3 linked regions of the Styela clava genome follow. The protein of the gene in region 3 purifies or fractionates together with the protein of the main gene of each other region. This does not show direct contact. Links are inferred from orthologs where the notes say so. Each region holds a gene or a part of one and is shown on either strand. Other genes may lie near its edges.

Region 1 (10,637 bases), on a different chromosome or scaffold from region 3:
TGCTCCGTTTAAGGACTCAATGATATCCTCAATACGCGGCAAGGGATATGCGTCCTTGTATGTGACGTCATTAAGCAATCTAAAATCCACGCAAAATCTGGTAGAACCATCCTTTTTGGGAACTAGGACAATGGGAGAAGAATATGGGGAATCGCTGGGTTCTATGACACCCTGAGCCAGCATATTATCAACAGCTTCTTCGGCTATCTTCCTACGCTCCCACCCCATTCGACGAGGAGCCTGCCGAATCGGCTGTGGTGTGGTTGTGATGATCCTATGCTTTGCTGCTGAAGTACGGCCAAGTTCACCATCTGGTCCTACAAATACATCATGAAATTCACAAACCAAATTGACCAACTGTTCACGTTGACTCGGGGTTAGATCCTCAACGGAATTGACCATGTCATGTAGATGTTCTGGTAATTCAGAAGCTATAACCCGATTATCGGATTCGTCAACTTGAATTTGTGCTACAAGTTGAGGATGTGCAATACCAATCAAAGATCCAGCCCTGATCTTAAGTTGTCTGCCTTTCTGGTTGACTGCAAGAATTGGAACAGTGGACTTTCCAGGATCCACCACAGAAGAGATCAGCTGAACGCCATCAGCAAGGAAAGAAGAATTCAACGGTTCGACAAGAGCTGCAACGTCAGACACAATGCTTTTCGGCCATGGGCGACTAAGTCGTGCAGGGATAACAACCTTAGAATATGGCGGTATAGTAATATCTTCTCGAACAGTTACACGACAACACGGTACAGACTTTTCAGTAAACAGTTTGATTTCATGACCCTCTATCATCATGTGTCCAGATGATAAGTAAAGAACACAGTCATGTTCTCGGAGATAATCCATGCCTAAAATACCATTAGTCGTGCCTAAGTTGGCAACAATCACAGTGCGTCGTGATACAAACGAATCAATCGATAAATCAACCTCCAATGTACCCAGTGGTGATAAATCATGTCCTCCCACTGCAACAAGAGATTCTTCGAGCGGTGCTAATTGTGCTCCTTTCCCACCTATAGCCTCAAAGATGGAAATGTCGATCAGAGTAGTCATAGCACCACTATCTACAAGAAAATTGAACGGTTGATTGTTTACAAGTACCTTCGCATGCCAACTATTGTCATATTGCAAGGAACAAATATTCAGGTCTATATTCTGGTTCGTTGGTCCGTCATCAAGTAATAATTCAGCGGACACTGAGGACCTCAAGCCCGCTGAGTGTCGTTTAAATTTGCGGTCGAAGAGGAAGCAGCTGTTGCAGGATCAGCGGGATTCTGAAGATGTGGACAATCCCGTTTAAGATGACCAGTCTGCTTGCAATTAAAACATGCCTTGCAATCCCTGCCCCAATGACCATGTTTACCACATCGAGGACACGGGTTGCGTGGTACACCATCAAAATTGCGATTGATGTTAGCGCGTGGCTTAACATATCCTATGATCTCATCCAGTTTTGCTACAAGTCGCTCAAAACTGCTCTCGAGAAACTGAAAAAGGTCGGTTTGCTGATTAGCTGCATCACCAGTGTTACTCTGTTTCACTGCGGCAATGCGAGGTTTAGGCATGTCTCTTCTCTCAGAGTGGTTAGTATCAACAGAGTAATACAGCGTTGCAAGAGACAGTGCACTTTCAAAAGTATCAGGCTGTTGCATGGTAACATGTTTGATCATGCTTTCATCGGTTAAACCGGCGAGAAACTGCGATTTCAAAATATCATCTTGACCAGCAATATCAAGATTTGGGTAAGCAAGAATAACAAGCTCTTTCAATTTGTTACCATAATCCCGTGGCGCTTCATTTGGCTTAATCCTACGACAATGAAATGTAGTACGATATGAGCTCGCATTTCCGGCAGGTTTGAAATAATGATTAAAATGAGCCACAATATCACTATAGCTAGTACGTTTCATATCTGGTAAATCTTTCAACACATTTAGAGCTTGACCTGTCATGCAAGTAGCCAATTCTAATCCTGCAGTGTCGTCATCCCACTGATTATAACTGGTAACCAATTCAAAATGGCATAAATAACTGGGCCACGTCATGACAGTGGATCCATCGAAATACATTGGCTTTTTGGCATTTCTCGCCATCATCGTAGCATTAGCTGTGCTATTGAGAACACTACGGCTAACATTGGCATTTGAGACACTACTAGCGCTCACTGGAGGAGCTGATTGTGTAGCCACTGTAACCATTTTCGGCCTAGTACTAAGTTGCCTTCTGACATTTGTGCCCTCATTACCATTATCATTCAAAAAAGGAATTGTAGGTGCAAGGTTACTCACATGACCATTCTCCAAAAATTTCACTTCTAATGTCTGTGAGAACGCGTTCCGCTTCACTTCTGGCTGTCCATCTTCTGATCCAAAATCAGAAATTTCATCATGCTTGAGAACAGGCGCTGCTTTTGGAACAACCGTTGCGGGTGTTGAAGTGATCAAGCTGACATCTGGGACATGTGACATGGGCTGCGTTTCTTCAGAATCAGCAACTTTTCCTGTTTTAACCACGCCAGAAATATCTTGCAGCATGTTGTAAACATGTTCAAAAGATGAGCCAATTTTCGCATTCTGGAGTTCAACTGATTCTAGTTGACTTCCAATCTGTTGCACACGACTGTCTATCAGTTGCAAACGGCTGTCAGTCTCCTCTTGCTTTTCCTCTGACTCCCTCAATTTCGCCTTCAATACCTGTATTTGCAGATGCAAAAGTTCATTCTCCTCTTTGGCTTCCTTTGGTGCCGGTACAATCTTTCTTCTCTTAACCATTTTTTCAAAATATCAGGCAACCGCAATTGAAAAAAAATTCGGCAACCTCAAATGTCCAAATATTATCCGTCACAGACTAGCCTACCTAATCGGCTTAGTCTTAATAGTCCCTGTGTCAAATAATATATCCTGGCGTGTGCTCGCCAAAAATTCGTATATGTGGCGTACCAAAATTGATATCACCACTCAGGTTCTTTCTGCCAGCTTCTTGGACACTGAAGTTGCAATAGATGTCGATCACAAAATAATCTTCTTGCGGTTCCAACCACAGCAGAGTAAGAAGAGTAGAAGTTAACTAACTAGATTAATTATACACCTGTAAGAACTTAATACAACCAAATACTCCAATCAGAAATACAATAAACAAATAAAAACATGAAAAACACAGTACAAATACCGTAGGATACATACGTAACACAAGATACGGAATTAGTCTATGACGTCACAGTCATGAACTATTTACTTATAATGGGATACCAAAAACCGGGTAAAACATACCTAGATATACATAAGAATAACTAGTATGACACTAAAAATACAACACAAATCCTATCTTATCGACAAACACGTAATAGACATGGAAATACGCATAGAAATACGGAAATCACACAGGAAATAAACTGCGAAAGTAGACTAGTTACGGAAGTGGTAAATACAAGCCAACTAGTGAACAGAGCTATGTCAAACTAGAGAAATAGTAAACCTGTACTACTAATATCATTTTACAACAAGAATTACATAGATTTACGGCATTGAACACTATAATAATAATCTAATATATAGAGGAATATCTACACTGCCGGCAGTCTGACAAACCAGCTACAAGAGAAAGTTACACAGTTGTTCACTAGTGACTCAAGTGGTAAGAATAAATATGAGCGAACAGAATAAAACAGGGTTATAGACGTGGTCGTCTCACATGGGAACACGGATTTTAGTCAGTGTCATGACTGGCTGTACGTTTTGATTCTGCAAAATTCTTGCTACTGGAAATTCAGAACTTTTTTGAGGGTACCGGTAGCGTCAAAGGTACGGGTAAGGACTGATTCGCTCTGGTCTGACGTGTCCATATATTTGTGCGTAGCTCTCTTGTATTAAAATCATTTTTAAAATTCAGGCCAGTTCTTCTTTCCGGGCTAGGTCTTATTTCCGGAAAAAGACGATAGGGCTTTTTGAACTATCTGTCATTTTCAACGACTGGGTCTTTTTCAATTCATTCGTTTTCAAATTTAATGCGTCTTTCAGAATTTAACAGGTTTAAAATGCTTTAAAACTAAATTAGTTTTTTTTTTTTATAAACACGTTACCTATGGACCTTTCCCCGACCTTTGACCCCCGAAAAATTCTTCCTATACTTTACCATTGCAAAATTTTCAGGGATATTTTAAGAGTGCTCTTGCGAGTTGGCGCCTGTAAAATGGGGTATGTGTTTCAAACCATCATTATGATTCATCGCATACAACAATCTGTGTTTTAAAAGTACCGGTAAAGAATTTCATGCTAGTCTATCACAGCTATTTCTACACTAATTTTTATTACTGCAATTAAATTTAAACTCCTAGGAAGACAGAGTGATCATTGAATTATCTGATTTTTATTTCAGTTTCCGAAACACAACTGAAAACTAACGAATAGAGTTCAAAAACGCGAAAACGAGGTAATGTTTACAACCACGTTTGAAAATCTGTCTGAGTGAGAAAAGTGTCTGAGCGGATGCGTAAAGGGGGCATTGTTACGTCATTTTTTGTATCTTGCTGATTGGCCAATGTCACGAAGTAAACAAGGAAGTCGCTGCTCGGGGAAAGGTCCATTCTTGTTTCAAACAAAACAAAATTCTTTCAAATTTGAAAAACTATGCCATTCAACTGGCAATAAATTAACATTTGAATTGATAATTACACTGTTTTTATCATTACGCTAATTTACGTCGCCTTTATGCTTTGATAGAGGTAAGAAAATAATACTAAATACATTAATTTATCTACAGGAAAATTATATATATGCTATATCTTTTACTATCCAAGGGTCTTTTTTTATTGGGAACCTGATGATCTTAAGGACTGGAATGATACATTTCATGCTCATGTTAGGACCCGTATGGATGTTTTCCCAACCTTTGACCCCCGGACAGTTTTTCCCAGACCCAAAGCGTATATATAATACCAAACCCATGGTAAACTATGCTTTACCGTTGCAAAAAATTTTGTGCCCATTTATTAAGAGTGATTTCGCGAGTTGGCGCCTATAAACTGGTTCAGCCTATACTGCTATATCCTATATATATGTTTGTTTCAAACTATCATTTTGATTCAAAACATTCATACAGTTCATGTTCATGTACGTTTATATTACAGTAAAATATTTTTAGTTCTGTTAGTGCGGTCTGACCAGAGCCGTTATATGATGGCTCTGGTCTGAAGTGACGACTGGCGGTACCGGAGTCTCATGTAGTTTCAAACAGCTATTTCTTTCGTTTTCTCGTCGCAACGATCAAAATTGGAGAGAGATCAATGACGTTAGTGTTTAGTCGGGTGACCGTACATTTGAACCCACGTACATTTAAAAGGGGGCTCCCGAAGTATGCGAACCAAGATGGCGGACATCGGAATGTAATATGTGTACTAGGTTAGGGTTAGGCCATAATTTTAGGTATAAATACTACGGGAGGCTCTTGGCTAGTCTTCGAACTGATAATAGGACTAAAATAAGGAAAATTGGAAAAAAATTATCGCCTAACCCTAACCTGTTACCCATGTTACGTTCCGATGTCCGCCATCTTGGTTCGCATACTTCGGGAGCACCTTTAAAAGTATATATTTACGTTTGAACCCATCTGTATATGGGGGGGGGGGGTTCAATCTATATGCGGGTGCTAAAACCCATGGGTTAGGGTTTCCGGTAGTATGCGTTCAAATACCCGTAAAACAAAAAAAAATTCCATGAGTACAGTACGCAGGTGCAATTGTCGTGGGTTCAAATGTAATGGAACCGTTTAGTAGTCAGTTCTTTATTGTCGGGGCGATGCCAAGCTCTATGACGTGATTGTGATGTCGTAGTGACGTAATTTTTGGCGTAGTCAGATGGGGGTTAGGATTGACATATCAAAAAGTTGTTATGCTACGCCCACTAGAAGTATGTTGAGTACGAAACTACACGAGACCCCGCTACCATCTCGCAGTCTCAGTATCTTGTGTTTATACGGTATTGCAGTATTGTTTTCATTATGTACTGTCAGACTGTTGTACCGTATGTTGCCTATTATTCTATTGGGGGCAAATGGGCATGGTAAAGTTCATGTAGATTGTAGTCTATCTGTTATTTATTTGCATTTATCAATCATTTTATCGCCTACCAGCCTATGGTTTTTTGCTTATTATGGTGTCGAAATAAACTTAAATAACTGCCATGGATCCCTAAACAAGTAGGCTACCGTACCGGTATTGTAACTGGGCATGAGCTGCGTGAGTTTGTACACCGTGGGATGCCATATGATTAAGCCAAGCCGTCTGAGCATCTTTATTCTCCATTGCGGAAGATATGAAAATCTCATCCCAAGAGCCAAACTTCTTTGTTCCGATTACAGCTCCTTCTTTATGTTTTCCTGTCTTTGTGCTGTTGTGCCTACTTTCTGACTTTGTTTATGTTCTGGTGTTGTCTTTATTATCTTGTTCTGTGCTTTTGTATTATATGTATTTTGGTCAATTCCTGTTAGATCACCGATTAACAAACTTTACACAAATCGTTTTGACTCTGGCATTGGCAATTTTTTCCATAATCCAGGTAAGAGTGTAAACTTTGGTAAGATGTCTGAAAAACGCAAGTTTGCTGTCAATAAGTCGATACGAAAGGGGAAAAAAGCAAAATATTGTGGTGGTGGGGGATATTCAAAACTTGAGGCAGGAATGAAAGGAGTTCTCATATCACATGATCGTAATAAAGAGAAGTTTTGCAGACTCGATTCTTTTAGATTGCTGAATCATTTCGCGGACAAGTATTTTGGACCTGAAAAGTTGAACAAGGAGAGTGAAAATGGTAAATCAAAATTTGAATAAGTAACAAAATATGAATATAAACTTGGCTTTTAGTAAGTTTTACAATGTTGTAGAAATATGCTATAGTTTTTATACTACATTCAATCTGGCAATTGTATTGTTACTTGCATGCCCATGTATCTGAGCGGTAATTTAATTCTAATACCTTATTATGTGTCATATATTGTTATCAAAACTTGAAGAAAACCTAGTTCTAGAATTGTAGTGTTTGTTTATGAAATTGTTTCATTTAGCAGATGATGGTGCTGAAAGCAAATCGGAAGATGAAGATATTGCCAGCATTTTATCTAATGAAGTGAATGAGATTAAATCCATTGCTAAAGGAAACTCTTCGGAACAAAGGCGTTTTACAGCAGTCAAAAGTGGATGTAATAACCTGATTTTTATTCGATTTCATAAAGATATTAGTCCTGGACCTTTTCTGAGTAGAGTTGTGAAAACAATTCATCAAAACGATAACAACGCTGACAACAGTTTACCTGCAATAAGGAACGTATTGAGGATGCATCCAATAGACTTTTCCTGTTCTGCATATCTTGAAAGTATGTGTAAGAATATCCCTACCTTCCTAGAAAATAAGTTTAAGGATGAAAGTTTCCAAGATGTTATGAAAAAAGAATTTACTATTGAGTATAAGTGTCGAAATAATAGTCACTTATCTCGCAAGGAAGTTCTTGATGGACTTTATGAAAAAATGCGGGATTCGGAATGTGGTTGGAAATATAACTGCAGATCTCAAACAGTGTCAGTTATTATTGACGTTCTGAAGACTGTATGTTTGGTTTCTGTTGTAAAAAATTATTATTTTTACAAAAAGTATAATATTAGGGAACTACTGTGTTCTAATGTGATATCAAAAATTCACGGAAAAGAAGAACCTACTACTTCTGTGGAATCCAGTGTAACTGCTGATGATATAAGTCATAAAGCGAATGGGGATGGAAACAAGAAATGTATGTCGATCAAAAATGACCTTGTCGAATTAGTTGGGCAAAATGATTTAATTGTAAAAAATCCATCATGTGCTGTTCATGAAGAAGAAAAAGTTGAATCAGAAATTGAAAAATCTAACTTGCAGCCAAGTGTAGAACAAGTCAATATTACTAATGAAAATAACAAACTCCCACAATGACCTATTCGACATTTGAAACATTTTTTTATTTTTGAAATAATATTGCTCAGATAACTGTTTCAATTTTTTGTGGTCAATGCAAGCGCTGGCAGAAAAAGGCTAGGTCGAATGGGAGTACTTGGAATCTTGATTAACTTTGCGAAAATTTTCGATTTGCTTTGTCTTAAACATATTTCATGTATTACCATTAATTAATACTTATCCTTTACCTACCACTGTAGTTTGTTGAGTTTATTTCACTTACAAATACTTTCTTTTGTGAGAAATTGCTCTCAAAACAGAAGCAATGTTTATAATATACTTTGCTTATCATTACAGTACAGATCATGATGAGAGAATAAGTCTTGTTTTAACTTCTCTTTTTGATCCAGTTCTTTTACTTCTGAATATTTATATGCTTATGAATTTAATTCTGTAATGTCGAAAGATGGATGAATGGAAAGTTTTGTGTAGTGATGATGAAAATGCTGGGAACAATGAATTTTATGAACCTTCTGATCCATCCGTTATGATCAATCTTTATGAAGCTATACTGAAAGGGGAGATTCCTAGATTTGATGCTTCTATTTATAACAGAGCAAAACCAGATTCTGAAACTTCGGTAAGTTGAGTATGTGTAACCAGGTTAATGTTGAATTTTTTAGTTATCCCTAGTATATTGTATTTAAAAATATTGATGAGACTGTATTCACCTTACTATAAAATTGTTTTCATCCGACACCGACAACAACGGAAAGCATGGACCAATCAAATTTGTCTTATTTATCCTGGGGCGAGGAAAGCTGATAGTGTGGCTTAATCATATGGCAAACCACAGACTTTTTTCCAGTTATCAGTCCATGTTGGCTGGGGAATGGTTAGCCAGTTATATTTCAAATGAAAAAATTGTTCAAATTTTGTTTTAAAAGTTATCTTATGCAATAAAATATTATTCAGGACTACATATATTCACTTTGCAGAGCATTGTATTTCATATCATTGTATGCAAAGCTGCGGAGTCCGAAGTGTTTTCACTGGAGTCAACGCCGGTGTTGTATTTTCTAACTAGTAACTACCAAGGGTCAGGATGGCTATTACCGATTTTCAATGATAATAAAATAAGTCAAACTCAAAATTATGCACAAAATTACCAAACGTTCTTAACATCTGTTGAAAAGCCTTGCAAACGCAAAAGTTTTTGATATCGAAATTTGATTTTCTTCCGAGTTGAGAGCTACAGTCAAATTCTAAATTTTTACAACCCAGAGTCGAGCCTAAAATTCATTTTAACCCAGAGTCTGGAGTCGACCGTACATTTTCTCCTCCTACTGAAGGTTGATGATTACGTCCTACTGCCAAAGCGGTATGAATGTGTTTGCCATCAGTCCAACACACAGTGTGAGAGGATTGATGGATTGCTCGCTGTTGCAGGATGGTTTATGTAACAGCTAATCACCCATTAAAGTCCATGCATCTGATACAGGTGAACTTCTCTACCTGTCTTGGACTGGCAAGTGGATAAGAGGCGATGGTGTAATATATGATCAGATCGTTTCACCGGAATTCCTCTCCAAGATGAATATATGATCCTATTTCTACTTATGTCATTTTTCATCAGTAAACACTGATTCATCCTTTTTGTTTTAACAGCAATCAGCAAAATTGTCTCCTGAAACTACTGAAACATTGGAAAAAACTCCAGAAAAAGTACCATCTGAGGTAACTGAGTTTGACTTTGATACTCAACCTGAAGATAATGTTAAGAAATTTACACCACGACGTACTCCCAACCGACCTGTTACCAAAAAAGTTGGTAAAATGTCCAATGTGTTTTCTGACATCATGAAATATAAGAAAATGGATGAAAAACAATGTAAGGGAGAAAGGGAACCACAAGCTAACTGAAGACCCATTGCTTGCATGGATTTTCTAATGAGATCTAACACTAGGAAAAAACACATGGAATGCGACGAAGTCCCATTGCTGGTTCCAAAGCCAGGGCTGGAACCATACACAAGAGGACACACAGACTGGCTTTTTTGCTTGCTTCCTTTTAAATATTGTGTTGCAGGAGTAACAATGTTTGCAACACTATCTCGTGCACCGGTTCTCAACCAGTGGGCCACAAATCTCTTAAAAATTGTTGGACTTATTAATAAATTAGCCAAATTTGATTGTATTAGAAATGAACGATAATTCAGGTTTTTTTTTTTTTTGCTATCAAATATTAATTTCCATTTTAATTATTAAAGTGGGAGTGTTTATCTTTGCAGAAAGAATTATTTGATTTTCTTGCAATTGAAAGTTAATGGGCCACAGAATTTTTTTGTGCAACGAAAGTGGGCCAAGGAAGAAAAAAGGTTGAGAACCACTGATCTAGTGTAAACCAATAACAAAGATTGAAAATATCGTCAATTTGAAGACTTCATCTTTTTTTTGTTTTTCAGAAATTCATTTCTATATTTATTGAAAATAAAGAAATATTCAGTAGTTTTATTAATTAGTGGATTTTTATCATTGGCTCATTTCTATACATGAAAATCATCAAGTACGTTGTCAGGAGATATTTTACGATAATTCATTAATAAAAGGGTTTCATTGAAGACCAAAACGAATTTACCAGTATCAAATACCCCTCAAGATTTCGGAAGAAATATCAGATCTAGTGAGATTATTGATCGTTTTGTTGTGATT
Region 2 (11,298 bases), on a different chromosome or scaffold from region 3:
GAAAACGTTTTCAATGTGTCCCTAGTTTCTAGCAGACTACTCCAAATAAAACTCTTCAAAACATTGGCATTGGGTCCTCAAATCTCATAATCAAATTGCATAATTCAAGTAATTAATCCAAAAACTGTGATAGATAAATGAGAAGTCAAAAATTTGAAATAAATACTCAAGTTCATACCTTATTTTTCTTCCTTTACTTGCTTTTGTGTCAACATTTTTCTTTGCTTTACTCCGTAATCTTTGTACTTTTAACCATTGCCTTGAAAATTATTTCAAATTGGAATTCATAAAAATCTTTAGTGATCACTTTGACAAGACAATTTACCACCACAACACAAAAATATTTCATTTATTTTTTATAATTTAGGAAAGCAATATTCATGGTACTTTTAACCATTGCCTTGAAAATTATTTCAAATTGGAATTCAAAAAAAAAATCTTTAGTGATCACTTTGACAAGACAATTTACCACCACAACACAAAAATATTTTATTTATTTTTAATAATTTAGGAAAGCAATATTCATGAATAGACATTCACTAAAACTATTGAATCATTTTCATAAAATTCATCAGATACCTTCAATGCATGATCAAATTTTATGAAAAATAAAAATTAATTTTCAATTCAATTAAATTTTTATATATGATATTGCTACAAATATGTACAAACCTCGTAAGTTCAACTGGATCTGATGAACCTCCAGGTCCTGATGATTTTTGTTCAATGAGTTGTCGAAGTAACTGGTGATAAAAGTCATCGTCATCATAGATTTCAGGCAGATATTCTTTTAAATGACTACTGTGGTTGTCGGCATCTTCAACAGGTGTCTATTGATTGAAAACAAAAGCTAAAGGGCAAAAAGCAACAGTTGACAGGGATGGGTGAAGTCAATAACATAGACCTGATATGAGTAAAGGACTGAAGCTTGGCACACAACTCTGTTCAATTATTCGTGCCTTCTTTGATCTTAAGGCAACATGATACTAAAATAAATTGTCTTTGAAAAACAAATATATTGTGAATTATATTTATTAGGACTTTCCATTTTTATTCCAAGGTAGAAATTCAATAAGACAGCATATCCATGTTGCGAACCAAAAAAGATTAATGCCCAATCACCAGTCCAGATCAGCTTTGGAAATAGCTGAGTTACCCGTAATTATTCGAGATTGATGGATACGGATGCTGAAGGAGTCAAGACGTAACCAGCTTAGGAATCCTTTCACACATAACTCCTTATACCAACATCTCAAACCAAATTCTGGACCAAAAATTTAACATACTAAACCACAATATTTCACAGACCTCTAGTTTATTAGACTGAGTCGTTCCCAGTATACGATAGTTCGTTCTTTTCAATTGTGTCCGCTTGATTAATCTTTCACGGTCTTGTAATATATCTTCTATCTGAGAAACTGTCGACCGTTCAAAATTTGAGAATGACTGAAATATAAAGAGTCATAATTGTTATGAAAGAGGTAAAGTAAAACATTATGATATTCTTAACTCTACAAATATGACGAATACTGATTTACGTATGTATACCTTTGATTTTGATGTCGCTGTTAATCTTGTTTTATCATACCACAACTTCAGTACTTTATTCCTATGAGTTTTATATGAAGTAAATCTGTCTTGGATCATATCATTCACCTCTTCCATCGACGTTGTACTTTTCCGCTTGTTATTACTATGCATAAAAAATAACAATAAATTTAGAGATGACTACCCACAACATTTCTATTGATGTGTGTCAGTCAATGGGAACATTACACAAGATATATCTCTTCAATGTGCACTGTGATTTTGTAGTGTCATTCAAGTCCCAAGCATTATAAAATAAATAGAGCAATATGATCGCATAATGTTACTGCTGCAACAGCAGATCCAGACGATTAAAATTTCAATATACCAGTGCAAAAACTTCAGATTTTGATGACGATAAACTTGGAGATACTTCAATAAAATTCATTATTTAATACTATTGAAAAAAACTAACAATTTCACATACTAAAGCTAACGTATCACTGAGATTTAGGTACCATGAATGTATTCAATTTAGGGTTTTTGACAATAAACATACCTGATTTTAGAATCTGCTATTGACTGAGTTTCAGGATTTTGAGTGAGAAGTCTCCTTTCTAATTCTAACAATTTGTATAAAAGATTAGACAAAATTTTATCCGCAGATGAAAGAGAAGCTGGTAATTCAGTTTTAAATAGTTCCATCTTATCATATTGAGGTAATCTGTTAGATATTGTAAGTATCTTCTGAAATTTGATTCGAGCTTCAAGCATATTTTCCCACAAACCTAAAAAATATAAAAAAAATTCTCAAAAAAACAAATTGAATTTATTCGCAAAGTCAAATAGTCAATATCTGTCTGTTCACATCTATCATTTGTTTATGTTTATCCTCGACAAAGAGCATCGATAACTTTGAACTAACAGTAAAAAGTGTGCTCTTATACAAAATGTGAGGTAAGCAAACAGAAAAGTTATGGCCCTACTACATTGTGCAGCAAATGAAATTTTAGCGAATATACCGTAGATAAGTATTGTACAATACATTCAGGTATCGTTTTCGTTATATGACGTCTTTCACTTTAAACAAAGCTCTATACAAGTCTCTATTACACCAATATGTAAACAGCTGCTTTTTTCTTAAGGACCTCAATCATTCACCTTATTACACCCTGAGTGAGGTGGTGATCATAGGTTCGAACCATGGATCTTTAATGCCAATATAGTTGAGCCCAAAACTCTAGCCATCATAGGGCTTCGCTCTAATGATATAAGTATGACCAAACAATTACATAATCCAATCAATTTGTCATTCCCATCAAAAATATTGTCCAACATTAGATGAATATTAGAATTAACCAGATTGGCAGATAAAACTAACAAATTTTAATTAATAAAAGAAACGTAAGTAATCTCACAAAATTGATTTCTAGTAGCTCTCGATTTTAATAATGGATCAGCCTTTTTCCTATTTTGAAATATTTTTAAACTGTCATCGCCATCTCCATCGGCTTCATCAGAATCAATTTCTTCATCCATTCCATCATCTTCATCTAGCATAATGTCTCCAACTTCACTATTATAGCTAGTATCACCATTCATTTCTCTGCATTAGTAGTGAAAAACATATTCAAATCAAGAATTTGGATACAGGATGTCAATAGATATAGAAAACAACATAATAGAAGTAAAAGAATATACCTCTCAATATCTTCATCAGTTTGATCATCTCCACTGTCAATATTTTCATCTTCAGCATTCCCATTCTATAAATAAATTGCAATTATATAAAACACATTCTAAAAAAGACATTTTTCATCACCCAAACTTGACAAATGATAAACTTTTGTCCTAGCACATGAATAAATACAGCCAACCTACACTACCAAACTATATTATCAACAATGACACGAGGATAACGATAAAATCAGGTAGAGATACTAATAAATAAATAAATGCTTTTTTAGACATAGTGAAGTTCAAGAAATGCAAAATTTTTTCCTTATACTCGGACAGGATCGAAACAGAGGATGAAAAACAATTATAGCGCAATTTTTATCCTAATTCTTGCTGTGGCTGCACACTTGCACAGACTATCTCGTCTATGATATGCACTAACTGGAAAATATTTTCAGTCAAAAACACCTCGACAGCAAAGATATTTGATATTCTCATAAAGACTAAAAACGATATTTGGAGGTCATGATATTCGAATTACAAAAGAATTCTACTATCGTACATGATTTTTCTCACTATTCTTGACGATACAGAATAAAACGGAAATGTAATCTAAATACCTTAATGCACTTCATGATAGCAACAATATTTACCTCCAGTTCAATGTTATCTTCATTGCCAGACTCACTTCCATCACCATCTGATGTTTGATTCCTTGATACAACTTTACCCCTATATAGCTCTCCCATGCCTTCGAGCGACTGCATTTTTCTTCGGCCAATTCCAGGAACATGTTGAATAACTGTTCCATCTTCAGCATCACTATTCAAATCATCTTTCTCTACAACTTTAGCTCTGGTTTCTAAACAAAAATTCTACCATGTAAAAATACAACAATTTTCATTAGGTATAGATAGTCGTAATATATCGTTTTACTTAGTTCGTCACTTCAATCATGGAGTAACATTTCGGTCAGATATGCTAAACCCATAAAGTACAGTCATTTCAAAACTGGGTAGCACATACAGTTATTAGTTTCTGGCATTACTGCATTATATAAAGTAGAAATGCAAATATCAAACAAAACAGATGATCTATATATATTTTAATTCAAGAAATTCAAGAACAAGGAGTCTATGATCAAGGATACAATTTTTCTAAACCAAAAAAATCTTCAAAACAAAATTGAAAGCCTTTTAGGGAGAAGTTTCAATCTCCGAATAATTGAAATGTGACAGTGATTCAGTAGTTGAAGAGAAAACAATTCAATTTATACCAACCACAATATTCACAAACAATGTTTGAGTAATAATAATAATACTGGGTCACTGGTTACAGCAGGGGTGCACAACCTTTTCTCGTTTGACGGGGGCATTACATTTTTGTAAAGCTGACTTTTTCAACGAGTGGCGTCATCGCGATCAGGTTTCGAACAATAACTTCTTTACATAAACGCCAAAAAAATCTAATTTCATCTGGAATTAAAGAACCGTTTCTCTGTTAACGATATCCCGCTTTAGAGATATGAAAGAATATTCAGAGCTGTTACTTTTTTATAATACTGATAATTTATTTCCATTACAGACACAAGTAATGATATGATTTTTCGTAACACTCAAGCGCCAACATAAAACATAAATTATTTTTCAGTAACACACCAGCACAGCTGCACATTTTACCTGCGAAAGCCGCATGCGGCCGTACGGCTGCAGGTTGTGCCCCCCTGGGTTATAGCGTTCAGTCAAAGAATATTATGAGTATGTAGGTACCCAGCAACTCAGTAGCAAGCCAAAAAACACCCCTAAATGGTCAGGTCTATTTAAGTCTTTAGGTGCCATAGCACAACCACAACTGTAGAAGTGCATCACAGTTTTAGCAAAAAAATGTGCATAAAGTGAACAGTAATGCATTGAGTGTTATATCACAAGTACCTTCATAAATATCATCTTCTGGGTCAATGCTCTTCACACTCGGATCGAAAAGCCTAGCAAGTTGTTCAGCTAAAGATGTCATGATGACATTTAAAATTGTTATGTATACTTTAAACTTGATTTTGTACTTGGTTTTCTAAATAAAAAAAGCAAACATTCAATAAACTGATAAAGGTCGATACCCTTCGATTGACATTATTAACAAACATTTATGAATGCCCAATGTAAAATTTCAGATAGTGGCAGTCTCCATGCATTTTAATGAATTTTAGGAGAAAAGAACAAAAACTCTTGAGAAAAGTGGGTATGTAAGTACTTTATTGGATTTTATCGTCACAATCATTAATTCAACAACTTTTTATTGTAACATTCAGAAAATTCAAACCTAAATATCAGAATTATGAGATCAGTTACAGAAGAGCATCCATTTGAACTACAGTACCAGTTTGTGGCAAAGATGTGACTAAATGATACAAACCACAATCATAATCAAATATAAGAAACTCCATTCAAAGGCAAAAATTCCAAAATATGCACTCATTAAAATAATACGGTTACGACAAATTACACATTCTATACTTGTCTATCCATTTATATATACACAAATCAATTTACAAAATAATGATATGAGAATATCACTTTTAACAAACAGACATTCAACATGATGAAAACATTGGCAAATACAGTAATTCTCACAAGTTCAACCTTGAATTTTTTTATGATCAAAGTAATGCTTATAACTTGATAATATATAGTTAATATTTCTTATAATTCGAATCTCCACCCTTTCGCTTTTCAATAATTTGATTGATTTGCATCAGTTCGCGATTCAATTTTTGTTTTTCATTCTGCTCCTTGGTTCGTCTTGTTTTTCGACCTCCTGTCATTTTTATTCCATACTGGAAGGCAGCTTTAGGCATTGCTTCTTTCTGAGACATGTAATTACTATATTCTTCTTGAGTATCAAAGTCCCATCTTCCAACTGGACCTTTCTTACTACCTTGATCCATTTTACTGTAATCTGCTTCATCATCACTATCGTCTCCTACGCCTGATAAATTGTATTGCGCTGATGGATAGCATTCCATGTAACTGTCAGATGCCCCCGCTGTGCCAATGAGTGGATTGCCTTTGCCAGACTCTTTCTTTTGCTTTTTAGTTTCTTTGGTTTGGTCTGGTTGTGACGACCCTGCATATTTTTCATTGACATTTTTTACAAAATTTTTCACTGAAGCAGCAACAGCTTGTTTTGATTCAACCATTTCTTCTTCCATTTTAGGTTTCTCAAAATAAGAATGAGCATTTTTTGCAGGCTTGCTTCTGTTCTTTTTTAGAGTAGGAACATATTCACCAATATCATCAAATATGCCCATGTCTGCTTCAATGGGTCTTTTATGTGGCCTATCATTTTCAGTCTTTATCTTTCTATCTTTCTTCTTTCTATGCTTTTCGCGAGCACCTTGACGTAAATATGACAATATCTGAGTCAGTTTATTAATAACAATATCGTTAGTTGATAATGTTGTTTGAGACTCGAGTGTTGGGCAGTCTGCTTTACTACGAAGCAGAGTAGTGGGAATATCTGTGTCTGCAAACTCATCATCGACTTGAAAAACGTACGCCATTCGTCCCGGCAAAAACAATTCATTTCTTAGTTTCATTTGAGGCTGGAAGACAAGTCTGTGTATGTTTTTTGCCATTTTTGTTTTGAACGTAACCACTTCTTTCTGTTGCTGCTGTTGTTCTTCTTTCGTGTTTTCTATGTCTTCAGATAAAACTTTATCAAGTTCTTCGTCCTCTCGTTCTTTTGTCGATATCTCAGCTCGAACCTTTTGTAAAAGAGCGAAATCGAGACCTTTTACCAAGTGAGTATGAGCCATGTCACCTCCAAGATATTTTGATTCTTGGATGACTTGTCTTCTTTTCTCAGCGGAAGTTCGGTCCGCTTCAGCACTTGGGCCAACGGTTTTGTAATTAGCAGTTGTATTGATAAGATCAGATTCAGCATAATCTCCTTTACCTTCTCTCCTCTCTTTTGCTCGATCTCTATATTTCTTTTGAAGTTCAGCCTGCCTTTCCATTTCTTGCTTTTTAAGTTTTGCATACAAACTTTTCTTTTTTCTTCTTTTTTCAGCAGCCGATTCATGATCTTCTGAATCAAATTCTGATTGGGACGCTGAGACTCGTTTTGCTCGATCATCGTGAGTTTTTTCACCACCAGCTTTAGGGGTCGTCAAAAATTTTCGAAAGTCTGCATTGGTTAGAGGTTGTTCATTAACATTGCCATCAGTCTCATGATAATGCTCAGGGGGCAGAGGATTAGAAAATTCTTCATTTGCCATAATGCTTTATTGATAAAATTAGTTCAACAGTATTTATAAAATATAAAAAAAAAAATGAATGGCTGAGTATTGAACTGTCACTGACATAACGGCGCGGCGTTGTGGCTCAACGGGCTAAGCGTTAGGAATACGCTCGCCACCGCACCTCTAATTACTCTGCGTGGGTTCGCAGGTTCGAATCCCATGCAGGGATGGTTATGTGCGAGAGGATTGCTGGACTTCTCGCCGTCGTTGGGTGGTTCACGTAACCGCTGGTCGGTTACGGCTTCCTCCACCACCAAGTCCATGCTTCCGAAAACAAACAATATAACTAATCCCATACCATACCCGACTTGGAATGGTAACCGGACGAGAGGCCGTGGTTCGCCATATGAATAAGCCTTCTTATCGGCTTTCCTCTCCCCCGGGATAAATAGGTAAATTCTATCCTATCCTATAACTGAAAGAGATTCCAGTTTAAATGAAGATGGATGGCTTAAACTTGTATATGCCGATTTCCACGCTTTGTCGCGTAATGCAATGGTGGTGAAATAGTATCGACACTTTGATTGTTCATTATCTTCTGTGCGAGCGTGCGCCCTTATTGTTGCGACACATTTGCATGGTCGCAAGATTGGCACTATCGCCATCCCCTTGCAATGCTTCTAATTTACGGATTCATTTGTATTAAGTCAAGGAAGTCACATAAATACAAATAGTCAGATAATAAATAAGTTAAATAAAGTCGTGCACTTTGTTACAAATTACAACACCCAATAAATTGTCTCATGTCTTAAAAAACGAGTTGATTTATTGGAAAAAATCCTTTAAACATTTTCACACTTTTGGCAAATACCGTATTTTGATAATGATAGTCAAAAGTATCGACTTTTTATTATGATGATTTTCCGTTGCGACAAAATATTCAAATTCATGAACAATAACAGCATTTAAAATGCCTTGTCGTATTAATTTAATTTTGTTTAATAATTAACCTAACTCGTGGTTGCGTCAACTAACGAAAAAATAAAAGTATTACCGACAATCTGCAGCATTGAATGGTGTGGTGCACTGGCCAATTATAATTAATTTTTTAAACCTATTACAGTACTTACGAAAAACAAATATTGATACAACTCCAAAATACCACGGCAATCTGTGGACATAAAATGTGTGGTTGACTGCCCGATTAGAATTAACTTTGATTTATTAATTCGTACTCACGGAAAAATAATAATTTTGATAATGATAGTTGAAAGTATGGACTTTTAACTAAGATGATTATATGTTGCAAAATATTCAAATCCATGACCGACAACAGCATTTAAAATGACTTATTGTTATTGTATTAATTTAATTGTTTTTAACGTAACACATAGTTTTGCAGACTCGCGAATAAATTAATGCATTACTACTCTAAGATACGGCGACCATCTGTGAACATAAAATGTGTGGTAACTGCTTGATTATAATTACAAAATACAAAAGCATTACAACTTTAAAATAACGCGGTATCTGTAGAAATATAATGTGTGGTAAAATGCTGGATTATAATTAATTTTTGATTCACACTTTCGTACTCACAAAAAAATAATTTATACCTTTACCCACTTTCGGCAAATAGTTTTGATAATGATTGTTAAAAGTATGGAATTATCGGTTGTGCAAAGTATTTACCGTAAATCCATGACTGATAACAGCATTTAAAATGCCTTCGTATTAATTTACTTTTGTTCGATGTAGCCTAACTCATCAATGCCTCGTCTTACGAAGAATAAAATGTTTCAAAATACCACAGCAATCAAAAACACAAAACTAATGGTAAACTGCCCTATTATAATTAATTTTGATTCGCACTCTCGTACTTACGAAAATAAAAAGGGCATACTACTATAAAATATCACGGCAATCGGCGGATATAAATTTTCTGGTAGCCAGCTTGTAGGTAACGGTAATTCCATTGTTTATTGTATGCTAATTCCGCCATAAAGATAAGCTTGCATTTATTTTCGAAGTATTCGAAACTTAAATAATAATTTTGAATGTATTCGAAATAGTAAATTATTCGGTATTGGCCATCCCTGATGCCGTTTGAAATTTGCTCAATTAGTTTCACAATGTTTATGATATGACAGCACAAAATGAATATCCATGAATGTGGAGAAGGGGCAACATTTTTTAATTATGACCGACTGCACTCCTATGGCCTGAAGTAACATCATTGAATCAAATGTCTCAATGTTAAATGGCGGATAAACAGTTCACCAATCTGCCAATAGGATATCTGTATAACTCAAAATAAATAACGCCATTTCAGCATTTGGTTAATAATTTCTGAATTTAGTTTAAATCAGAAATAGAGTTTGCTATTGGGGCATCATCGAATAGATAGGTTAGATTTTACGAGAAAAAGTTTAGGAATATCAAATATGTCCTGAAGTCACCTCAGGATTGACACGTGAAAAAATTGTTATGCTACGCCTACTAGAAGTACGTTAGGTAGGAAAGTAGGGTGGCTTACCCACTTTGCGACCATCAACTTCATCGATTAAATTAATGCCGAAAAAATTAACGAACCGCGACGATATTTCTCACACGTTATCGTCCACTTATCCCTCGTAGCTCTGCGAAAAGACACTAAAATGCGGCCACAAATAAAAAAGTTACGACCGAAAACCTGACCGAAGAAAAAAAACGGACCATTTTACCATGTCGCCAACTACCCATTGTTCCCTCAAAAAAGCTTGAAAATCCATACAAATATAAGAGATAAAGAGATGAAACTTGGCAGGTGGGTAGAGTTGTGTTTCTTTCAACCATCTTTAAAGTTTCGCGTTTCTACCTTCAAAGGAGGGGGAGTAGGGGGGTGCGCATTTCCAATACGTCAATAATATCTTTGTCAACTAATTTGCGACCACCGTGTTTTTGTCTGTTTGATTGTTGTGATGCGGTGCTTTGTTTATAATTTGAAGAATTTTGTTTGAAATAACCGTGTTCTTAAAATATATAACGGTCAGAAATGCAATTAGAAGCCCATTTTTTCACGCATGGCTGCGTATGCCCCAGTCTCGACACAGCAGAAACGATGTTCAAGGCTTGAAATCCGTGATCGCACACTGGTCGTTCGGTCGCAAATACGTCTTCAGAGTGTCGTACTTTGGTGGTTTGTATAGCTTTAACCCCTGGTCGTAGAAAGTTAATTCGAAGTTCAGCGTGTAGAATAAATGCCAATGCACTTACGGTGAAAAAATTAACGGGTTAGAAATATTGGTTTTTGTTTTATAGCGGTTTGAATGAAATCGTCCGCAGATTGGCTACACCACCCTACATGAGACCCTAATTTTTCTAGTAACACTAAGTGTAAATAATGACTTACAATAACTTACTGTATTCAGATATTAGTATGTACCATAGCCCAGTAGTCTCATATTACTGTACCGGTATTACAGTATTAACTGCTGCTGTTGCCAGACTGCAGTATTGTGATCACAACATGCAGATATGCATACCATACACCTCTGTGAAGCTAGCAGCAAAACACGAAATTGTGACTGACAGAATCGCAGAAAATACCCACGCGTAAAATTAAATGTTCCCAATGATTTTTATAAGAAAGTGTATATTTTGATTATTTTCACAATAGCAATTAAAGCAAAACAATCATTAACTACACTCCTCGTATTGTTAATATATGGTAAACAAGCTAAAGCGACTGTTACAGTGCACAAAATTTTTTTATAATTCTTTGAGAGATGTTTAAAAATGACTGAATTTTCGTCGTGTAACATGGTCGTTTCATGAAAACCTCCAATAAAGGCAGCATTGCAACACCATTGGTGAAA
Region 3 (11,659 bases):
TTATTTTGAAACCTCTTTCAAAAGGAAAGGCAATATTTACCCAGATAAATACAATGACATATTAACAGAAACTTCGGGAAAGCAGACAAAACCTAAAATAAGGTTTAAAACGTTACTATGAAGAAAGGAAAGGTAATGCAAAGATAAGGACATGCGTCGCTCACTCATAGATATATATGCTGCTAGACTTCTACTGCTTGAACATACGAGGTAAGGCTAAAAAGAAACGGGACTGACGTCACAAATTGCGCAACACGATTAACCATCGGTAATCAACACTTTTGCAGTGTTGCGTAATATGTGTTCTTTGTTTAACAGCTGTTTTGACACAATATTGCAATTATTTTTGCTTTTCAGGATCCATAAGTGAATGTGATAAATTTCTTTATCATGGGGTAAAATTTGGAGACAGTAGCCAACAAATGGATGGGAAATTGACGTGCAAATTTTGAAAAATTTTTGGGGTTCATCAAAGAGAACGCGGCAAGGTGTTCAGTGCGCAGACGATCGCCTATTTGATTCACCAGAATGTCACAGCATTCACTGGCAGACAAAATCAAACGCTGCGTTGTTTGCCCGCGGCGTAAAGAAGCACTCCATGTGTCGTCGTATTCTATTGTTTCCCGGATACGAGATACAGCATCGCAGAAGTCTGAAATACACGACTACACTACGCTCCATCCATTAGCCTTGACTGCAATGCGCCGTATAATACATCCACGTGATAGAATATTGTGGAGAAAAAAGCGAGAAAAAATGAAAACTCACCATCTTCTAGCAGACGCTTTAGACCTGCCGCCTCCCTCACAGAGCGTTCGTCCCAAACCGGAGAGCTCTGAATGCCATTGAAACACTCAATGAGCTCAGACCTAATTTCGGACACGCCCTGCACCACGCGTGATTGGAAGTTCCAACGTGTTGGTGCACAAGCTGGAAGAGGGCGGCTACATATCTGGCGAAGGAGGTAAGAGCGCTTCGGCGAAACGGAAAAAAATGAAGAAAACCCCGAAACATTTGCAAAAAATATACGGACGAGAGGGGTATCAAGACACATATTTTTAATAACGAGGTTAAATTGGTATGCATAACAATGTAAAAAATGCGCATGAGGAAAATCTTCTTTTATATAAACTTGAACACCATGTTTCGACCCACTCATGACTGCCGCGCCGTCATAAGTTTGAGCTATCAATTTTGACTTGGCGTTGTAAGGCTGTAACACTTCTTTCAGTACAGCCGATATCCCGCAAGCCGTGCGATCAACGATTGGTACAAAGCTGTGAAATCTCTCGGTAAGTTTACCATCTTTCACAAACCGAAAAATCACAGCCAGTTGGGAAACGCACGTGATGTCAGTTGTCTCGTCAGACTGAATCGAAAGGAACTGGCAATTCTCAATTTCTAGAGCCAAATGTTGTAAATAAATTTTATACATTGAGTCGAGCAAATCATTTTGGATATCCTTAGATGTCCCGTTCGAAACAGTTGCGGCATCAAGATGATCTTTCAATACTGTATCTAGGGATGCGGTGTATTCCACCATATCCAAAAATACCCCTCTATTAGAAGAGCCAGCCCGTTCATCGTGCCCACGGAGGGACAGCTCGTGACAACCAATGAACTTCAAAACATCTATCAATCGACCGAGAACATGGCGGTTTTTCTCGACGTTTTGGTTGTGCCGACGAATAGACACCGCGCGTCCTTCATCCAACTGTGCTGCAATATTAACATTTCCGAATGTTCGGTATTTTACTGTATTGTCCAGTTGCTCCATAGAAGATTGATGATCCCTGGCACGCTCGGAAAGATGTTTAAGATCTCTAAAACCAAATTTACACCAACGTGAGTCACGGGCGATAGCGAAAAGTAGGCAATAAAAACAAAAAAGTGCATTTTTGTCCTCGCTGTAACACAACCATTCGTGTTTTTTATACCAAGTTTCTGCGCAGAATGTACGCCGCCGCTTTCCTCCGTCATGGGATTGTTCCAGTGAACAATTTTTCGGTTGATAAGGCCCAAGACGTTGTACCTCTAATTTTTGTTCCAGCGGCAGCTGCGAAAACGGAGTGCGAAGTAGTGCATCAACCTTCTTCATTATGAGGTCTAAGGCTAAGAAATGCGAAGCCGGAAAGAAGTGAGGAGCTCAAAAGGAATGTGGAAAATCGAAAGCAAATGGACTAAGGGTCTCTAACTGATTCAAATAGCGAAACAAGCGACAAAAACGAAGGCGAGAAAACTATCAACTCTTCAAGCAACCAACGAACGAGAAGGAATGCGTGAATATGTCAACACGTTGTTGTAAGAAACGTCGGCATTGTGTCGTCATAATTTCGGGGCTAGCCCCGGTGATTTAGTAAAAGAAACAGAAAACAAACGAGACAAACGCGGCGAGTGGAAGATAAAAGAGAGAATACGATATACCATGAGCAACCGGGGCAAAATCGGCGTCGCCCAGTCGACGTTCTGCGAAGGCTTTGCGAGCGAAAAATGAACCATGTCGGGAGAATATGGCTAGTGTAGACAGTCTGTGCAACCGATATTGAGGTATTTTTCGAATATTTTTTATTATACCGAAAAAACAACCGGGGCATTGCCCCGGTTGGCCCTATTGCCCCCCGCCACTGCTAAATAGTGTGTAAAATAAATGGACAATGATAATATGAATTATTTTATACCAATACAGCGCGGTCGCGCGTCACAATTGGTTAAATGTAAATTGTGATTTAAAAATTAAATGTAAATTAAAACTCGTTTTAAATAACAATACTGTATCATAAAAATTTCCCTAAATACATTGGTTGTTTTAACCGCCACATCGTATACGAAAATTCCTGTGATAATATCGCACCAAAGATATGAGTGTTGTACCCATTGATCCACCCCATCTTGCAGAATTTTATGGATGATTCGACAAGCGTTGAGGCTTGTTTAATCAATTTTATTTATGTCACCAAAGAATAAAACGAAACAACAACAAACGGACAAACAATAAAAGGCAGAGGACCTGGAGGACGACTATAACTTAAGAACAAAGTTCAAAACGTACAAGTACATGCCCGTCCACCAAAATAGTCAGATAACACAATGAAAAACACGATACAGAATTGGGCAATAACTTTTAAATCAATTTAAGACATGCAAACATCGATCAAAAGAAGAACAAGTCAACACCTTGTAAGAACTAGAAAATTCAATAGATTTTTTGTGGTCGTGATTGTCATATGGTGCAATTTTTTAGTGAAGATAGGCTACATAATGACCATGTCCAGTAAAATGCAAAACAATGGAAACTTTAACAAACTGTACAGGTCGAAGCAATCCACGATTTCATTTCATGTCCAGTAAATTACAAAACAATAAAAACTTCAGCAAATGCGGGTCGAAACAATCCATAAGTCCACTTCATATCCAGGCAAATGCCAAAAAATAAAAACTTCAGCAAACTGTGCGGGTCGAAACAATCCATGAGTCCACTTCATATCCAGTAAATTACAAAACAATAAAAACTTCAGCAAACTGTGCGGGTCGAGACAACCCATGAGTCCACTTCATATCCAGACAAATGCAAAACTATGAAAACTTCAACAAACTGTTCGATTCGAAACGATGAACGAGTCGACTTCATGTCCAACAAAATCTTTGGCTCGAAGTAGACGTCCTCACCAGACGGCGGTCGGCCTCTTGTCCCTGCATTTTTCCCTCCCTCTACGGCTATCATGTTACTTAATAGTCATTGTTTTTGAATTGAACAGCAATCTGGAAAGCAGGAAAGCGCAGTGTAATGGACGAAGCAAAAACAATATATGAAATCCTGTTTTCGGTCAAAGTGTCAATACGGACCGCAACATATTGTAAAATATGGTGACCGTACATTTGAACCCACGTACGTTTGAAGTATGTACATTTGAACCCATGTGTATATCCGCGGGTTCAATCTATATGCGGGTGCTACAACCCATGGGTTAGGGTTGGTATGGGTTCAAATATCCGTAAAACAAAAAAAATTCCATAGGTGCAATGGTATGCAGGTGCAATTGTCGTGGGTTCAGATGTACGTGGTTCAAATGTACGTGGGTTTAAATGTACACGGGTTCAAATGTAATGGAACCTAAAATATTCTCAAGTTTTCATATACCCTCGCTGCAGAAAAATCATTTCTGGCAGGTTGAGTAGAATAATGATGATGGTTCCAATACACATGCTGTAGTTAATACTGGCTGTAATTTTTGTGATCAGTTCGTGGACCAAGTAGATGCATTTCCTGATCCATTCAGCTTTTACAGCTTTAGTCGTTGAAATGTTCAGAATTCTCGGCCGAGTGGCGAATCGTGCTAAGCGTTAGGAATACGCTCGCCACCGCACCGCTAATTATCCTTCGTTTGTTCGCAGGTTCGAATTATGTGCGAGAGAATTGCTGGACTCATCTTCGCTGTATAGAGCTGGTCGGTTACGACCGTTATGACTTTCTCCGCCATCAAGTCAAAGCTTCCGAAAAAAAAAAACTGGCTAACTAACCCCATACCCGATGGACTGGTAACCGGAGGAGAGGCCGTGGTTCGCCCTATGATTGCGCCGTATCATGGCCTTCCCTTCTCCCCCGGATGAATATATAAATCTTATCCTATTTGAATACCTGATTAACTTATCCCATACCCGTTATGAACTGGTAAACGGACGAGAGGAGTGATTTGCCATATGATTAGGCCGTCGTATCGGATTTACTTTCCCCCGAGATAAATTTGTAAATCCTATTCTATTTATATCGTCATATTGTATGGTCAAAATAATATTATGTTCAAATATATAAGGACTTCAACGTAATTTTAAGGCTAAAACGATCCTTCAAATTAGAGTTCGTATTTTAGTTCCAAGGAAACATTAGAACAGGTTATTTGAGAAGATTTAATCCATAGTTTCCTTCTTGTTTCGTGCTTCGGGAGAAACCCATCACTGTGAATTTTGCAGTCTACGCATTCGCTAGTGTTTGAAAGCACATTGGGCCAATTCTAATATAGTCTATATATGCCGACAGTATAACAAAGGGACTGGTTACATAATCAGGAAAGCAGAATACACCCACACAAAATATAAAATCTATATGATTTAAGACAAAAAATAGCCTGGTATGCGTTAATCCGTAATTAATAAACTGGAAAATATGATAGTAATATTGCTACAACAAATGCACGTCATCAACGGGAAATTCTAATTTGCGTTCGATTTCGGCAGGATCGATTATTGAAAAATTTGAGTCTCGCAAACGAAGTCTACTTAATGCAAGCGGTAAACGTCAAAAATCTTGAAAAAATATATGGAATCAAATTTGCCACAAAAATGTTTGCGTGATAACCCACCTTTGAAGCAAAACGACCTTTGAACCCGGCAATGAATTTGTTGTTGTTCTCTGCGCTTGAAGGCAAAGCATGTCTGGTGTCCACATGCAGACATGTGCGCATTTGTTCGTATGTTTTGGATAGGATTTACATATTTATCCCGGGGGAGTTTTGTTTACGCTTTAGCGCTAGGATGCAATTTTGCAATAGACTACCTCAATTCTGCAATTTGGTGTTTCTTATTCAATAAACAAAAATAGTATTTGAATGTATGTGTTAGGGATATACGGTATGTATGGTAGGCTACAGCCTACAGGTACATCTTGCAGTCTTGTTCAATTGAGTTTAATGTTGGGAATTGCGCATGGCAGCATGGTGTCGCAAACAACTTCTGAACTCGCTCGAGACATAGCCTGGAATCTTGTTTTTGCAGTGCCGAAATCGTTTCTCCATTCTAGTTTAGGTATTTTATTAGGTATTATTATCGTTTTTTACATTTTTGTTTGAACGTTTCAGTTAATACTAGGCCTAGGCCAGTCTGGATTTCATGGCCTTTTCGAACGAGAAATCGGGCGTGCAATCAGAAATTCCCGCGTGCAAATAAGAATTTCTGGCGTGCAATTAAAGCTCACGGCGTGCAAAACAACTTAGCCCGCTAAACTGATTTCGACCTAAGATACCTCTCAATACATCCGCGTAAAATTACCAGTATTGGATAAAAAATAGGTTGAATCATAGCAAAAATGGACGTTTGACCTATGACCCCCAAACATCATTTCTATATTTTGTCACTAATTTTGAGAGTGTTTGTGCGACTTTAGATACCGGTACTGTTCAGTACATTCGTGTAAAATTATTGTATTAAAAATACGCTGAATCAGAGCCATAACTGGCCAGCGTGAGGAGGCGATTTTTCTCACGGGATTCCTATCATTCAACACGATATGGTGTTTTTTGGTTCGCATTTTTCGATCAGGCCAAATCTTGCAAGCAAGTATTAGTCGACAATTGTAAAGTTGTAATTTTTTGGCATCTTTATATTACAGTATTACTAGATTATTGATTTAAAAACTATTTAAACCGATTTACATTGGTGAGCAATTGCAAATTTTCGGCGTGCAAAATTGAATTCGCTCGCGTGCATTTTTGTGGAGCGCTAGCGCCTTCGGGCGTGCATCTGCCATGGAATCCAGTCTGGGGCCTAGGGTGGTGTAGCCAGTCTGCGGACGATTTCATTCAAATCGTTGATTTTTTACCGCTGGTGCATTGGCATTTATTCTACACTCTAAACCTCGAATTAACTTTCTACGACCAGGGGTTAAAGCTATACAAACCACCGAAGTATTTGCGACCAAACGACCAGTGCTGCAGTCTGCGACCACGGATTTCAACCCTTGAACATCATTTCTGCTGCATCGAGATTAGGGCATACGCAGCCATGCGTAAAAAAAATTGGGCTTCTAATTACATTTTTGATCGTCTTATATTTCAAGAACACGGTTCTTTCGAACAAAACTCGTCAAATTATATACAAAGCACCGCATCACAGCAATCAAACAGACAAAAACACGGTGGTCGCAAATTGGTCAACAAAAATATTATCGACATATTGGAAATGCGCATCCCCCTATTCCCCCTCCTTTAAATGTAAAAACGCGAAAATTTAAAGATGGTTAAAAGAAACACAACTCTACCCCCTTGCCAAGTTTCATCTTCTTATCTCTTATATTTGTATGGATTTTTAAGTTTTTTTAATGGGACAATGGCGACATGAAAAAATGGTCCGTTTTTTTTTCCTCGGTTGGGTTTTCGGTCGTAACTTTTTTGTTTGTGGTCGCATTTTAGTGTAATTTCGCAGAGCTATGAGGGACAAGTGGATAATTACGTGTGAGAAATATCGTCGCGGTTCATTAATTTTTTCTGCATTAATTAGATCGATGAAGTTGATGGACGCAAATAGGTCGTGGCCGCAAAGTGGGTGGGCCACCCTACTGCTGTACTGTATGGTAATTACCACATTTATTTTTGATTCTCAAGCATAAAAAACAAACATGCATTCACACTTCGATTATATTTTCCCTGAATCTACAAATGATTTTTCCGCCTGCATGCGCATCAGCTATTTCCAAATTTCGGTATTTAGTGCAATGTTTTGTCCCCAATTAAATTTCACCCATCCGGATTACAAAGTTCTGAAGTGAGACGTGTGAGTAATGACTCACTGCTGCACTGTCTGTATTTTTTGTTTGGGTTGCGACTTGTTCTGCTTCTTCGGTGCGGTAACACGTCTATCCTGCTATCTGTATTGTCTTGTTTTTTTGCGAATGAATTAAAATGGATTCTATCTAGCCTATGCTATGCCTTATGAATACTTGAATATGGTCCACTTGCCATCGCGCACTAGTGTTCACCATGCATGGGTTCGAATTTCGTTGGGGATAAATATATTGGAGAATGGAGAGAAGATCGCTGGACTGGATGACTAGTAGTTCACATGATCGCGGGATAAATATGCTAATTCTCTCCTTCCTCAGTTCTTAATTCGAATCCAGTAAGGCACAGTTTTCCGATTCCAAAATACTCCGACATTTGGTATCAGTAAAACGAACACTCCATCTGTCTCTGAAACAAGGGCGTCAGGCATGACGGCAGATGTGTCAGATCGCGCCACGCTTGTTAAAATGAAAATTTGAATCAATCACGGTAAATTAATTATTTTTTTCAAGGAATCTAATGGTGTCGTTTCCAGATGCACTTCGTTAATGTGGGGATATTCTTGGAATCTGAGAATCTGTACTGTATTGTTGTATACTTTTCAACTTTTTTCATTAGGTTACCTGGCAAGCAAACTGCCATACACACCGTTATGCCAACTTTTTTTTTTCCAATTCAATATCTTTCCTGGCTTCATTATATACATGAAAATTTGCTCTCAAGTATTGGGTAGAAAGGTGATATTAGTACTGTGATACAAACACTTTTTATTTATTTTTTCTTAAATTAGTTTTCATTCAGACGAGTATCACAATTTATTTATTCTGTCATTACTAGCATTGCGATAAGAGTATACAAAGATGGTTCGTAAAAAGATTGACAACAGAATTCGAGTTCTAGTTGAAAATGGAGTCGCTCTGAAGCATCGAACAATGTTTGTAATTGTTGGTGATAAAGGAAGAGATCAGGTTGTTATTCTTCATCATATGTTAACAAAAGCTGCAGTAAGAGCAAGACCATCTGTTTTGTGGTGCTATAAAAAAGAGCTCGGATTCAGCACGTAAGTATGGTTTATTCGTGTAATTTAAATATTTATACTACTGTCATCAAATATATCTGTGCGATGATCTATACCAGAGGCGTGCAACATACTGCCAGGGGGTCGAGGTACGTCCAAGAGAACCTATTTACGTGACCAATAACAGACTTCGTATCCCATTATTTATGAATACTTTTTCTTATTTGTAACAGCACTATTAACATTTTTGAATTCGACACCAGTCAGTGTCCGAAATACTTCATCGTTCAATGCAATCAAGGTCTGGTTTGCCCGATTTGTCAAGCACCTTAGCAGTAATTAAAGAGTACAATAGTCAATATCATGTAACACTATTTTACAAAACACTCTTGTTAGTTACAGTACGAGTCGTCGATGATTTGGCAGTCTGTGTAGTATAAATAGTTGCATGCCATTGATATACTTAAATAAAAATATAAAGTTTATAGAGTATTTTCATCACTTCATACAAATTCTGTTAGCGAAAATATGTGGAGTAAAAAACTGAGTTATAACAGTATCAGGAGACTATATCTAATGAAGGAACCTTTTTGCAGAAATCGTAAGAAGCGCATGAGACATCTGCAGAAAAGAATTTCTCGTGGAACAATTGATGTGAATGAAGATGATCCTTTTGAATTGTTCGTTGCTGCTACTAATGTTCGATATTGTTATTACAATGAAACACACAAAATTCTTGGAAATACGTATGGGATGTGTATACTCCAGGTAACCTAAGCTGAGTAAAAGGTGAATATGCTGTTGTGTTACATGTTAATAATGATTTTCCATTATTATAGGATTTTGAAGCTCTCACACCAAATTTATTAGCGAGAACAATTGAAACAGTTGAAGGGGGAGGAATAATTTGTATATTGATGAGAACAATGAAATCTCTTAAACAGCTATACACAATGACGATGGTGAGTTTTATTTTTGCTTTTGTGTCCGACTAGAAAGAATATTGTATGAATAAATTGTGAAGCAGAGAAAAAAAATTTATGTGATTGATTGGGTTTCTGCGGGCCTAACTACTAAACGTTCTGTGCTTTTAACACCGGTATATTCATATGCATATAATGCAAAGATGCTATGAAAAAAGTGAGGATAACTATTCCCAGTGATTCAAGAGTCTTGCTGCACACTAACACAAATGTATTTCTGTAATGTTCAAGGTCAGACAAAACGTTACAGAAATAAAGTTGTGTCAGTTTGTAGCAAGACTCCACCGTTTCCCTGGGAGACTCTCCTTCAACTAAATTCCCTAATTAAAAAACAACTTATTATTAATATAAATGCTATTGCAAAATAACAGATCTGCACAAGTAGAGGTGTATGACAAATGGATGCAAAACAAATTGATTTCATTCAGGGGCACAGCCAGGATTTTTTCAAGGGGGGGGTTACGGTGAAATAAAAACGCGTTTATAGGTCTTTAAAAAGATGTTCCGACGATGGCAAAACAACATGTGCGTCGCTGTGTCTCATTAGCCTTTCTTTGCATGTCCTACTTTCAGCAATCGCCGACCATTCTCTTTGGTCAAAAAAAATCAATCAACTTTTCATTTCAATGCGCCGTTAACTATATTACTGAAAGTGAATTCGTCGCAAATTCAAATTCCTGTGATATTTGCACATAACGCTTCTCTACTTTTAGCGGCGATTTATCAACATATTATTACCAGTTTGTTAATAATGCATGCTATTACCGGTACTTTTGGCAACAGGGTTAAATTGGTTTATCGTTGTTTCAAGCAAGAAAATAAGCATTTGTTTTTTTCGCTTATTCAGCAATCGTAATTCAAATATTTCTCTATGCGAAAGAAAGTCTTCACTCCGCGGGGTGTCCTTGCGTTTTAGAGTTTCAAAGTGATGCCGAAAATGCCGATGATAGAGAAACACAGACACATGTGGCTATTTGTCGCCAGACCCTGCCCCCTTTGACAGGCGTCAATTCGTTTATTTTGTTTTGGCATGTCCCATTTCAACCTTTTAGTAATCGCCGATTATTACCCCATTGTCAACAGTTAAATAAAATGCCATCGTCATGATTTTAATTGAAATACCGCAAAAAATGTAAAATAAGAATAGAATGAAATATTAGCAATCATGAAACATTAAGAAATAGCATAAATTAATGATATTTGCCAAATGCCAATGGTTCATAAACTATTTTTGAGTGCGTCACGAAATATCAATCCATTTCCAAAATAAATATATTTGATGTTCCCGTATTTATAACTTCATAAAACGATTACAATCATTTAAAAACAAGCTCATGTATCGTACTGATTGGGAACGTCTTTCAATGTAAAACTCTTGCTTGTTGCAATTAACTGTTAATAAATTCTAATTTTTATTGCAATGCATCGAGACCTATATTACTGAAAGTGAAATCGTCGCGAATTTGAAATCCCGCGCCCGTGATAGCTGCATTCTGATCATAGCGCTTCTTCACTTTCAGCGATAATTTAACTATAATAATTTAATTATAATTTAATAACATATTGTTACCAGTTTATTGAAAAGATCTGGAAGACAACGCATGTAACTGCTTTTCGCAGACAGACGATTCCAAACGAGTCTTGGACGAGTTTGCTACCCAAAAATCTCGAAGATTGAACATTATTCTTTAAAAAAAAATTTCCCGAAGATTGAACATTATATTACGATACTTTTTACTCGAAGATTGAACATTATTTTGCAATGCTTTGTTTTCGAAGATTGAATATTATTTTATGACACCTTTTTTCGATGCTGCCACATTTGGCAATCCTTTGTTAATGAACCATACATTTCCAATAATTCATTTTGTCTGTTATTTGCTTATGATCCTGGTGCCATCGCTTGTTAAAGATGCACTACATAACTAAAATTCGTAATTAGCGATAAGCCGATAACCAACGATAATGTATGTGATTAAAAGTATGGTTGCGTTGAATGTGGCGAGGCGAGAGCGCGCTTGTGGAATAGTTTTGACGGCAATAGTGTGATACGTCCGTTGCTATTTGTGTCAAGTGAAAGGTAGTACATTTGTATTTAAAAATGTTTA

The links.
Region 1: the proteins of RNA cytidine acetyltransferase-like (region 3) and THUMP domain-containing protein 1-like purify together in Homo sapiens (co-immunoprecipitation; 3 studies listed by BioGRID and IntAct, counting the BioPlex papers as one, with this or other methods). This does not show direct contact. The link is inferred for Styela clava from reciprocal best matches to the Homo sapiens genes NAT10 and THUMPD1.
Region 2: the proteins of RNA cytidine acetyltransferase-like (region 3) and protein AATF-like purify together in Homo sapiens (affinity purification with mass spectrometry; 3 studies listed by BioGRID and IntAct, with this or other methods). This does not show direct contact. The link is inferred for Styela clava from reciprocal best matches to the Homo sapiens genes NAT10 and AATF.

What each region holds. Positions count from the first base shown.
Region 1 is NC_135260.1:12,200,993-12,211,629, reverse strand, and holds THUMP domain-containing protein 1-like, read left to right. Parts: upstream 1-6,030; 5' UTR 6,031-6,583; coding exon 6,584-6,812; intron 6,813-7,065; coding exon 7,066-7,964; 3' UTR 7,965-8,335; downstream 8,336-10,637. Other genes in the region: uncharacterized protein LOC120347505, read left to right, coding at 8,392-8,565, 9,594-9,848. UniProt on the Homo sapiens protein: Functions as a tRNA-binding adapter to mediate NAT10-dependent tRNA acetylation modifying cytidine to N4-acetylcytidine (ac4C).
Region 2 is NC_135257.1:13,444,847-13,456,144, forward strand, and holds the start of protein AATF-like, read right to left. Parts: upstream 5,272-11,298; 5' UTR 5,218-5,271; coding exon 5,136-5,217; intron 4,067-5,135; coding exon 3,858-4,066; intron 3,294-3,857; coding exon 3,229-3,293; intron 3,134-3,228; coding exon 2,946-3,133; intron 2,316-2,945; coding exon 2,087-2,315; intron 1,694-2,086; coding exon 1,549-1,693; intron 1,447-1,548; coding exon 1,309-1,446; intron 831-1,308; coding exon 673-830; intron 260-672; coding exon 179-259; intron 1-178. Other genes in the region: protein Red-like, read right to left, coding at 5,891-7,477. UniProt on the Homo sapiens protein: Part of the small subunit (SSU) processome, first precursor of the small eukaryotic ribosomal subunit.
Region 3 is NC_135261.1:20,261,782-20,273,440, reverse strand, and holds the start of RNA cytidine acetyltransferase-like, read left to right. Parts: upstream 1-6,670; 5' UTR 6,671-8,410; coding exon 8,411-8,610; intron 8,611-9,164; coding exon 9,165-9,336; intron 9,337-9,407; coding exon 9,408-9,530; intron 9,531-11,659. UniProt on the Homo sapiens protein: RNA cytidine acetyltransferase that catalyzes the formation of N(4)-acetylcytidine (ac4C) modification on mRNAs, 18S rRNA and tRNAs.